Linked DNA regions of Arabidopsis thaliana. The protein of the gene in region 2 interacts with the protein of the main gene of each other region in a pairwise test. Each region holds a gene or a part of one and is shown on either strand. Other genes may lie near its edges. The genes, in order: NST1, AT5G44260 and ATHB13.

Region 1 (3,761 bases), on a different chromosome or scaffold from region 2:
GACTGTTAGGGCTTTCGAGGTTTGGGAGTTTCATGAAAGGGTCAAGATTTAGCTCTTCTTTACAAGATCTCCCCATAAGTTCAAGAAATTGGTCGAGAGTATCCTCGTTGAAGATCTGAGATGATGTCGTCTTCGGCGTATCTCCGCCGCCGCTCAGGGAAGCTCCTCCGACGGGACTGTTTAGGGTTTTGTGAAGATTCTTCTTCTTGAAAATACGACACACCACCCATCCTTCGTCTTGTGATGCTTCCCCTATAATACTCACGACCTTAAATATTCAAAAATCAACTAAGATATATTAGCAAAGTTCATGTTTTGCACTAATCCCATTTAGGTTAAAACCAAAAAGAAAAAGAAAATTCATATTTCAGTTTCATGTGCGTCTGTATATGACAAAGGAGAAAAGAAATATTTGTGGGAAGAAGTAACTAAAACTATTATCATTAAATATTGGGAATTTAAGAAAAAAATAATAACGAAAACGAATATGTGATAGTTTTCATAATGTTATTAAAGAAAATTACGATCATACTTTGCATAAATATTGTTTTTTAAAATATATTAATTACCTTTATATATATATTAATTACATGATATTTTTTACTTGTACATCTTATCATCAGTAACAACTTTTATAATGGTCAATGAAATAATAATTAATCAAAACAAAATCGAGATTGTGATGTAAAATGAGATATTCAAAAAAGAGACCAAATCCTTTGATTGAATAACTCGTATTTAGGTTATGATGGAATTAATACATACCTCATGAACGGTGACATCCTCGGGGGAAATAATGTTGTCATCGAGTCTATATTCATGCATGATCCAATCAGATTTTTGGCCGTGAGGAGCTCGGCCTTTGTAGAAAACAAGAGTCTTTCTCATCCCAATTCTACGGCCATTGCTATATATGATCTTGTCGCGGCCAGTTGCTTTCCAAAATCCAGCCGCAGTGGCTCTGTTAGTTCTCGTTCCCGTCGGATATTTTTTGTCCTTGTGGCTAAAGAAATACCAGTCGTTTTGTGGCGTTGTTCCTATTTTACACATCTCTGCATAACGACAAAAATAATCAGAAGAAAAAAACTTAAATAGTAAATTGTATAATAACCAAACCTATGTTGGTCTTTGCAGTAACTAACTCCGAATATGAACAAACAACATCAACAACTAAGTGTAGATTCTCTGTACTCTAGTCATATTCTCGTAAAAGGATACATGAGATCACGTCATGAATCGAAAGTAGTATAGACAAGACAGCACTTTCATATATATGGAAAAATTAATAAATTCGGAAAATTGGATTATGAGAGTGTGAAAGAGAGAAAATTAATTCATAAAAAATTTCTTTATGGAAATAAACCTTGAATGTCCCAAGGCTCGAGCTTGTTGAGATCAACGTCGCGAATGACATCAAGATCGATCTCGATGCTATTAACTTTCTTCCGGAGATAATACTGCAACAGCTCTTCCTCGGTCGGATGAAACCTAAACCCAGGAGGCACTTGAGATTGTCCGTTCACTGATATGCTCATAGATTTTGACATCATCAAAGAGATTCAAGATTAACTCAAAAATCAAGCAAGAATAGAGCATGTGAGGTTTATTTAATTGTAACTATATATCATACTGAAAGTTGGAGATGAGAGAGCTAGCAGAGAATGACTCAATATATATATATATATTGTTGTATAAAAACAAGATGCATGAGGAAAACGCATGTGTCTCCTTGTACACCTTTTTTTGTTTTTCTTAATTATTAAAATTCAACTCTTATCATTAGCTTTTCCATTTGTATTCATTATTTAGTTTGAAAATTAAAATATAACCCTCCAAGAGCAATATATTAATTTCACTTGTCAATTATTAATGATTATTATTCTCTTGTTCTTTTTTCACAATTATTAGTTTCAATTTTTTTTGGCGTCTAGTTTTAAATAGTTTTGCTATTTTATTGTCATTGTAATTAGTTTAGAAATTAAAACGTGGGCCTCACTATAGTGATTTAGTTACACTTATCTTTTACAAGAACTTAAAATCATCAAATGTGACAATATCAGGCATCGTAATTATTTGTGCTAATATCAATGACATAATATCACTTGGACTATTTCAAATACGTATAATGTATGTTGTTATACATTTTTTTTAGTCTTTTCAAAGTTTAGGTTTATCTTATTCATTAATTCTTTAAACTACTAAGAACCATCGTAAACAAAATAAGTAACTTTGTGTATCTTTACATTTGCAACGAGTAAAGAATTATTGTGAAGAAAAAAAGGAAAACATAAAAAAAGTGATATATAGTTGTCGGAGAAAAAAAAGGTGATGTAGTTATCAAAAGAAAAAGAGTAGGCCCCGTAAGGCAACTAGATTGTAGGAAGCAAGCCCACATCGAACGATGACCCTTGACCTTAAAAATCTCTATAGAAAAGCTCCCTTTAAACAAATTAACAACCCACACATCGTAATAGTAATAGATTGTCTTCTTCTCTCTTTTTCTCTTCTAATTCTTGATATTTATACAAATGATATCTCTCTTTATATGCACATGCACACTGTATTTACAAAATAAAGTCGAAATAGGGTGTCTTAAAAAGTTTCCCTCCGGAAGATGTGGCTTTTTTCATCGATAAATAAACGTTTACACTACAAAAGTTTTTTTTTTTTAAACGAAAAGGTTTGATCGTTACAAAAAAACTAGTTGATGTGACAAAGAGTGTTTTTTTTTGGGATGTGACGAAAATTTATAAAAATATATTAGTAATAATGTGTATATGTTATATATGGGAAATTGTCTTCGAAAGAAAGTGGGAAATAATGCCCCAAACGGTAGATATAGTTTGGTGTTCGAGAGATGATAGAGTTGGGTAATGAGTGTTCCTGTCCCGTCTGAAATAGGATTAACAATCGATTTCACTTTTCTTAGCTAATGAAAATCTCTAGAGTTATACGTTTATTTATTTTTCAAATCTTTGCTCGATCGTTCGAGATGATTTGTAGTATGGTTAGTGCAAAACGAATGAGCCTAATTAAGGGGTGCTGTTTTTATTTTTTTAAACATTTGGTTGTTACGTTCTGTTAGAGACACTATATAAAGGTGAGACGACAGAAAGGTAACGATGACGTCAAAAACCACATAGTTTTATCATTTAGACTGTGGAATTGTATGTGTAAGTACGTGTACTTGTGTAGAAACGTAATTAAGAAAACCAAAATTAATGGAGCTAAGGAGTGTTTATGTGGTTGGAACTAAGACTTTATTTAAGATTAGTTAAGAGGCCTTTCTGCATTTGTCTAAACACAGAATCATTTTGTTGCGTTTTCGGAATTCCATGCTTTTAATCATTATTTTTTTAGTTTGATTAATGACATTGCACCCAACTTTTTTTGTGTCTTAAGTCCATGTGTTTATTGGTTGCGCTATGAAAATCCAAAGTTTCTAAGTACTATATAAAACGGGAAAACTGTAGAAATTTACAGGTCATGATTCTTTCCAGTAGCCAGTACCATGCGTTTTCTAATATATTTTGTTTGATAAAAGTTGTTTCTATTTTAAACGTAACTTTTGATTATTAAATACGGAGATAAATAGATAAACTAGTACTCAGAAAGATATATTACTTGAAGAATACATTTTTTTTAGAAATTATGTATGTGTGATTTTTTTAATTAACGTTTGGTAAAAAATAAAGTATAAGAACTAAATAAAAGAAATTTGCGTTGTCTAAAATATTCTCACTCCTCTATTATTTGTGATA
Region 2 (3,761 bases):
GTATTATTGTTCTCATTGGTATTTACGTATACGATGACACAACCATCAACAACAACAAAAACTCATGAAATAAGCATGATCACTAATACTGAACTACTATGTACAAATTAGTCTAAGGTTGGTCTCATTGTGTATATCAATTAATTCGAAGTCTAGAAATGGATACACACACCACTAAATTAGTCGCGATTTCACTTCTACTGCTTCTCGTGATCTCCGATTACACTAGGCTAATGATTCAGGTTCACTCGTACGTACCATTTTGTGCATACACATATGATTACTTTTCTTATTGTCTAGACTTTCTCACGGGATATTACTACAAACCCGGTAAAAAATGTTGTGTCCATATCGTAAAACTTAACATAATTGCGAAACACAAAAAAGAGAACCCGAGGCTTTTGTGTAATTGTGTTGAGATGATGACGAGAGGTTATACGCCTCCAATGTTGGCTGATAAGATCCAACAGCTTCCTCTTCTTTGCAACACACATCTCAGTTTCCCTATCTCCTCTAGCATGGATTGCTCCACGTAAGTTTATAAACATTAAATTTTACTTTAAGTGGAGAAAGATTCGAGATTGGTTTGGGTTTTGATTTAAGATGATCTTTTTTATATAAACTAGTTATGTTGTTGTGTTGTATATTCAAAACTATTAATAATGTAGCATGTGTTTGGTTTTATGCAGGGTTTAAAGTCTTGAGGGGTTGTGTGGGCCAGTTTGCTTTGGGGTGTTCAAGAAATATGGTTCTATGTGTATGGGTATTCAATTTTGGTCTTGTTTATATTAGTTTGGTTCTTTTTTTTCTCCAGATTTTGACTATTTTGGTTTAGAGAATGTGGCAGCCACATTTTAAAAGTTGAATCTAGCATATATTTGTGTCATTTTCGTTAGATTTCGAATTCAGTTTTCTTACAAAAAAAGTATATCTTTATACTAGTATACTTCCAACAAATTTGAAGTATTGATTTAGATAATTTCCACTTTTAATACAATGCTGAAGGGACACTTGATGACTTGAATGAAAGATTTCTTCTCAATTTCTTTTTGTTGTCTTATCTGTTATTTAAAATTTTAAATAGACTTTTTAGCTAATGATTTATTCATAAAAAAAAATTTGGATTGGACAACTAATCAATAAATTTTAAAATAAGCAAAATGTGCAGTAACAAAAATAAAATAAATGTATAAAACATATCGATTTTAAAACAAAATATCATATATATGCGTTATTTCTTCATAACTATGCGTGTTTAAAACAATTGTCCTTAAGAAAAGAGTAACCGATTGGAAGGAAAAACCAAAGGATCTTCGTTTCCATGCGAGCCACGTAACCAATAAAGAGATCCACCCTTGTTTAACACCTCAAACCTGTTAAGACTAATCACAATGTTCGAAGATAATGCCATTTCTATATATATTTAGTATAGCATCACACATGCGTTCTGTGTTGCAAAGTTTACTCTAGAGTTATCACTGAGTCATGACTCATGATGACCATTATTATAGTATTAGTACTTTTAAGTTTTAGGTCGAGAATATGAAGCTAATACATGCATGTAATGATGTAAATATGCCTACCTTAAAAAATATCGAATTATTCAGAAACAATGACTCGATATCCGTAAGAAACCGCCAGCTCCTGCTGAATTGCATGAACCTATCTTAATATTCTTTCGCCACGAACTCTTCCCTTTTGTCTCCTTCTTATAACTCTACACATCATCATTTCTTTTCCACTAAATAACTTACAATACGTATACCTTTTTCTTTTTTGTCAATTTAAATCAACACTAAGATATACTTTAAATACGAATCATTTAAATGAATATAATGTACTAATTGTTTCAGATTTTATTTCCTGTTTAAAAATATACTCATGAACTAAAACTAATTAATAAAATGTGGATAAATTAAAGCCTTTTAACAAAAAAAAAATGTGGATAAATTAATATCAATATGTTTCCTTTTTATTTTATTTTATCTATTTCAAAAAAATAAGTTATTCAATACATATGTTGATATTTTGACTATTTTTAATCATAATTTAAATCAATTGTTGTGTTCTTAAGCAAAATATCTAAAAACGAATATAACCACGTCCACCATAGAAGCACTGCAATTTTAGCATTCTAAAACATCCTTGATATTTTTTTGTCAACGTCTTATTATCTTTTATCTCAAACCATGTATATGGATGTATCCACTAACGCATATATATAGAGACAATTAGGCATCTATCATTTTATCCCACACTTATCTCTTCCTATCTCTCTCTCATTCAAACCCAAATAGGAAACAAATACACAAAAGTATAATAAAAAGTCTTTCTCTCATCTTTCGCCACGTAGACATGGACGTCGAACATCACAAATCCGGCCACATCAGTAGACCAACGGTGGATATTCCACCGAGGAAGCTTCTTTCCTCCGCCAAGTCTCCGTCGTCAGTTTCAAGTCCCCTTCGCGACTATAAAGAACAGAAAGACTATTGTTACGACTCTGACTCTGAGGATCCTTACGCTGGAGACCATTTCCGGATGTACGAATTCAAGATCCGACGGTGCACGCGTAGCCGTAGCCATGACTGGACCGACTGTCCTTTCTCTCATCCCGGTGAAAAGGCTCGTCGCCGTGACCCTCGCCGGTTTCACTACACCGGAGAAGTATGCCCTGAGTTTAGCCGTCACGGTGATTGTAGCCGTGGTGATGAATGCGGTTTCGCTCACGGGGTTTTCGAGTGTTGGCTTCATCCGAGTCGTTACCGTACGGAAGCTTGTAAAGACGGTAAGCATTGTAAGAGGAAAGTTTGTTTCTTTGCTCATTCTCCACGTCAGCTGAGAGTTCTTCCACCGTCCCCGGAGAATCATATTTCCGGTGGTTGCGGTGGATCACCGTCGTCATCCCCTGCATCGGTTTTAAGCAATAAAAATAATCGATGTTGCTTGTTTTGTTCCCATTCTCCGACGAGTACTCTCTTGAATTTATCACGATCACCTTCATCGTCTCCGCCTTTGTCTCCAGCTGATAAAGCCGATGCATTTTCACGGCTGAGCCGCCGTCGCACCGCCGTACTAAACGAACTGATTAGTTCTTTAGATTCCTTAAGTCTCACGGAAGCACTTGCAGCTTCTTCATCGTCTCCCGTTACCATGCCCATTTCCACGGCGACGATGATCGCTTCATCGAATCTAAGCAGCAACCACCACCACCACCGTCTTCCGCCGTGGCTTGATGTCGGAGACAGAGATCTCCAATTACAACAGAGTAGTCCTCTACGATTTGCTCTTTCACCTTCTTCAACTCCAAGTTACCTCCATGGCCAGCTTCAGCCACCACCGTCGAGCTTCTTTGGCGATGAATTCACACCACGTGGTGGCCGGCTAAGCGATTTCTCGGTGGCTGCAGCTGCGGCGGCCCAAGCTAGGGATAAAAATAGCTTTGAAGTCGGTTCTAGTGGCGATCTTGATCTAGGATGGGTGAACGATCTTTTGACATGAACAGTATGACATCAACTGTGAACTACTTGAGATCTTTCCCGACGGGAATAATTATACGGCGGCGCCGCGGCGGAGGTCCGTCGTGGTACATTGTTTATTAAAAAAGTATTTACGATTTTTTCCACGAGAGCTAATTAAGAGTCTGTAGTACTATGTCGTGCTTTAAAAATATATTTTTACTGTATTTTTTGTTAAATAAGAGAGTCCATAACTTCTATTGTTATATTGATCTCTTGGAACTTGTAATATCTACTACATTG
Region 3 (3,761 bases), on a different chromosome or scaffold from region 2:
TTATTGATTATTCCTATTATTGTTATTTTGCTAATTGTATAACTTTTTTGTAATTGGTCAATCAATATTACTCTACATATATACATATAGCATTACCAGTAGTCAATTGATTTCTTGTTTCGTTTTGGTATCTGTCTTGCGGTTGATAGGTTAGGTCAAAGCTAATAGGTTTGATGAGATCAGATTTGATGTACCATGATTCTCATAGACATGATCTAGAATTTCAAATACATGTTACAAGATTGTTGATCATGGACATACGTATAATCCATGCTTTTGTATATATTGTAAGTCTATTTACAGTTTCAATATAATTTTTTCGTTTAAACGCTATTTTGAGATGGTGATTGCTTTTCCATTCTATTTCAGACCAAATTTCAATTATGTTTGGACCGATCATACTTTTTAGACTTATTGAACTTTAATTTCATACAAAAATGATGAATTCTAAATAAAAACGAAGTAACAATACATATAGAGAAATTCTACACTACTATATTTTGTTAGTTTAATTTCTACTTTTTCACCTTTTTAGCGATAGACTTTAGCAGTTACCTATAAAGATTAACTATATACGTTCCATATTCTGAACTAAAAGATTAAACTAAGGTTCTGAATGAAGACCGTATTAGATAAGGTGGGTGGTGTAAGACGGACACCTAAAATAATATATTTTCTTATGAACTCTGATGTTATTCTGACTGCCTTGATCTTTCCAATTCACCCGCAATCGTTTTTATTTGAAGAATGAAAACGAACAAATTTAAAGTAACTATATATCCGACTAAAAAAAAAATCACAGTTATACTATGGTTTACAAGTGCAGCTATTATCTTCTTCTTTTGTTAAATATTTCAATCTTCCTTTTTCACATCAAAATAATCAAAACTAGCATCATAGAACATCTGAAAATCAATAATATCACTTCTCTCTTCTTCCCACAAAAAATAAAATAAAATTATGTACAATCCCTAGATCCACAGGTCTAGGTCAATCCATGTAGACACAATACGATTATTTGATGGGTCTATATATAGTCCATACGTACTAGCGTGATTAAATAGGATCAACATTGGACCCATTCACTATCCAGCTTCGTCCCTACCCCAATATCACTACATCATTATATATATGAAATTAATTTACATCAATAGAAGTATGAAAGGCGTTAGTTAGCTACTTATTACATATGTTCTCAGCCTATGCAAATGATTTAGCGAAAAATAAATTGTAAATTAAGTTCTTTAGAAATAAATTTAGATGATAAAAAGAGAGAGAGAGACACAACTTTGATAGTTATGATTTAAGATGAGAATTGGACTTACAAAAAAAAGGACAAATCTAATAAAAGAAAAAGTTATTAGATAAAATTTAAAGGACAAGTATGATGAGTGAGAGAGAACACCTCTCTGCATGTCTCTCCCAAGGGGAAAAAGAAGAGTCCTTTCTCTTCTTACCATTTTGATTATCATCTCTTCATTTTCCACTTTGTACGCAAGCTAAACCCCCTTGTAATTTGCTTCCTTTTTTCATTTTCAACAATATTTAGGATTATGCCAATTTGATATGAGTAATAACACAACGAAAACACTAAGATTACATGTTTTGGTCAATTCTACGATTTTTAATCTGCAATTACATTTATTTATTTTTTAACCCCATTTTTTTTGTTCTATCTCCAACTAAAAGTAGATATTACACCTCAATATCATATTCAAAGTTCAAACTGTGTCTTTTGTTGTGGTCTGATGCAAATTTTATTTATAGATGAATCTCAGCGCACCACACAATAATCCACTATCCTAAAGACTAAAGAGTAAGTATATACCAGGGTAAATTAAATTGGATCCCACTTTTACTTGGAAGCCAACAATGGTTAAAAAAATATCTATCTATAAACGATTGTCGAAAATGAAGATAAAATTGGAGTTAATAATTATATATACTTTGGCTTAACGTAAATGAAGTTTAAGCTTGTATTTGATCGTGTTATTTTTATTTTTTTTAACGAGAGAATCAATTGAGTGCGTCTCTTTCTCTTCTCAGCTCATATGTCCTCTCTCTCTCTCTCTCAGCCTTTCTATATAAAACGAAATAAAGAAGAAATTAAATACCAGAAGTGGTATAGTCTAGGCCGATACATTTCACTATCTCTCTCTCTTTTGTTTTTCCTCTTCTTCTTTTTTTCCATTTGATTTCAAACTCTCACACAAAGAGCTTCAGATTTATAAGACCATGATAATGGCTTTAAGACAAAGATTGGCAAGAAGAAAAAACTAAAGAGAAACGACCAAAATCTCAAGCAAACAGTACTAACTTCTGTTGCAAAACAGAAGAAGATGTCTTGTAATAATGGAATGTCTTTTTTCCCTTCAAATTTCATGATCCAAACCTCTTACGAAGATGATCATCCTCATCAATCTCCATCTCTTGCTCCTCTTCTTCCTTCTTGCTCTCTACCTCAAGATCTCCATGGTATATATACATAAACTTCCACACACATCTCCTCTGTTTTCTCTCTATCTCTTTCTAATGCTCTGTTCTGTTCTGTTTCAGGATTTGCTTCGTTTCTAGGTAAGAGATCTCCAATGGAAGGGTGTTGTGATTTAGAAACAGGGAACAATATGAATGGAGAAGAGGATTATTCAGATGATGGGTCACAAATGGGAGAGAAGAAGAGGAGATTGAACATGGAACAAGTGAAGACACTAGAGAAGAACTTTGAGCTTGGAAACAAACTTGAACCAGAGAGGAAAATGCAGCTAGCTCGTGCCTTAGGTTTGCAACCAAGACAGATCGCGATTTGGTTTCAAAATCGAAGAGCTCGTTGGAAAACAAAGCAGCTAGAGAAAGATTATGATACTCTTAAACGACAGTTTGATACACTTAAAGCTGAAAATGATCTTCTTCAAACTCATAATCAGAAACTCCAAGCTGAGGTAATTAATCTCATAAATTAACAAAAAAAATCAATATGTGTTATTTTTTTTTGGGTTAATGATCAATAATTACAGTTATTTTCCATCTAAAGGATGATTTTTTTCTTTTTAAAAAAGGTTAAAAATTATATTTCTGGTTTATAATTATTTGGATCAGGAGTTGCTTTCAGGTAGGGTTAAAAAACTGGACATGATTCATGACTTTTCAGACATCATTATCTCTTTTTTTCTTCACTCTTGTCTGGAAAGAGATCTGAAAACAATAGTTTCTTTATGCTTATCACATTGTACAGTAACTCTGTTTATGTTTAAAATTTTGTCTTTAATTACGCAGATAATGGGATTAAAAAACAGAGAACAAACAGAATCAATAAATCTAAACAAAGAAACTGAAGGATCTTGCAGTAACAGAAGTGATAACAGTTCAGATAATCTCAGACTAGATATCTCAACTGCGCCGCCATCAAACGACAGTACATTAACCGGTGGCCACCCACCGCCACCACAGACAGTTGGTCGACACTTCTTCCCACCGTCGCCAGCCACCGCAACGACAACTACTACAACAATGCAGTTCTTTCAAAACTCATCTTCAGGACAGAGTATGGTTAAAGAAGAGAATAGTATCAGTAACATGTTCTGTGCAATGGATGACCATTCTGGTTTTTGGCCATGGCTTGATCAGCAACAGTACAATTGAAATTGGTCTACCTGTTTTTTTTGTTTTTGTTTTTAAAAAAATTTATATTTTTTTTTTTTGTATTTGGAATTTTGATCAGAAGAACCCATGCATGTTTTCAAAAACTGGAATCTATATCATTA

Evidence for each region.
Region 1: the proteins of AT5G44260 (region 2) and NST1 interact in a two-hybrid assay, tested with the Arabidopsis thaliana proteins (one large-scale study listed by BioGRID).
Region 3: the proteins of AT5G44260 (region 2) and ATHB13 interact in a two-hybrid assay, tested with the Arabidopsis thaliana proteins (one large-scale study listed by BioGRID).

Annotation. Positions count from the first base shown.
Region 1 is NC_003071.7:19,221,273-19,225,033, forward strand, and holds the start of NST1 (NAC (No Apical Meristem) domain transcriptional regulator superfamily protein), read right to left. Parts: upstream 1,645-3,761; 5' UTR 1,551-1,644; coding exon 1,364-1,550; intron 1,053-1,363; coding exon 766-1,052; intron 269-765; coding exon 1-268. UniProt on the Arabidopsis thaliana protein: Transcription activator of genes involved in biosynthesis of secondary walls.
Region 2 is NC_003076.8:17,829,714-17,833,474, reverse strand, and holds the start of AT5G44260 (Zinc finger C-x8-C-x5-C-x3-H type family protein), read left to right. Parts: upstream 1-2,138; 5' UTR 2,139-2,355; coding exon 2,356-3,501; 3' UTR 3,502-3,761. Other genes in the region: AT5G44265 (Bifunctional inhibitor/lipid-transfer protein/seed storage 2S albumin superfamily protein), read left to right, coding at 159-532, 690-696.
Region 3 is NC_003070.9:26,256,827-26,260,587, forward strand, and holds the start of ATHB13 (Homeobox-leucine zipper protein family), read left to right. Parts: upstream 1-1,961; 5' UTR 1,962-2,339; coding exon 2,340-2,475; intron 2,476-2,556; coding exon 2,557-2,939; intron 2,940-3,273; coding exon 3,274-3,639; 3' UTR 3,640-3,761. UniProt on the Arabidopsis thaliana protein: Probable transcription factor that may act in the sucrose-signaling pathway.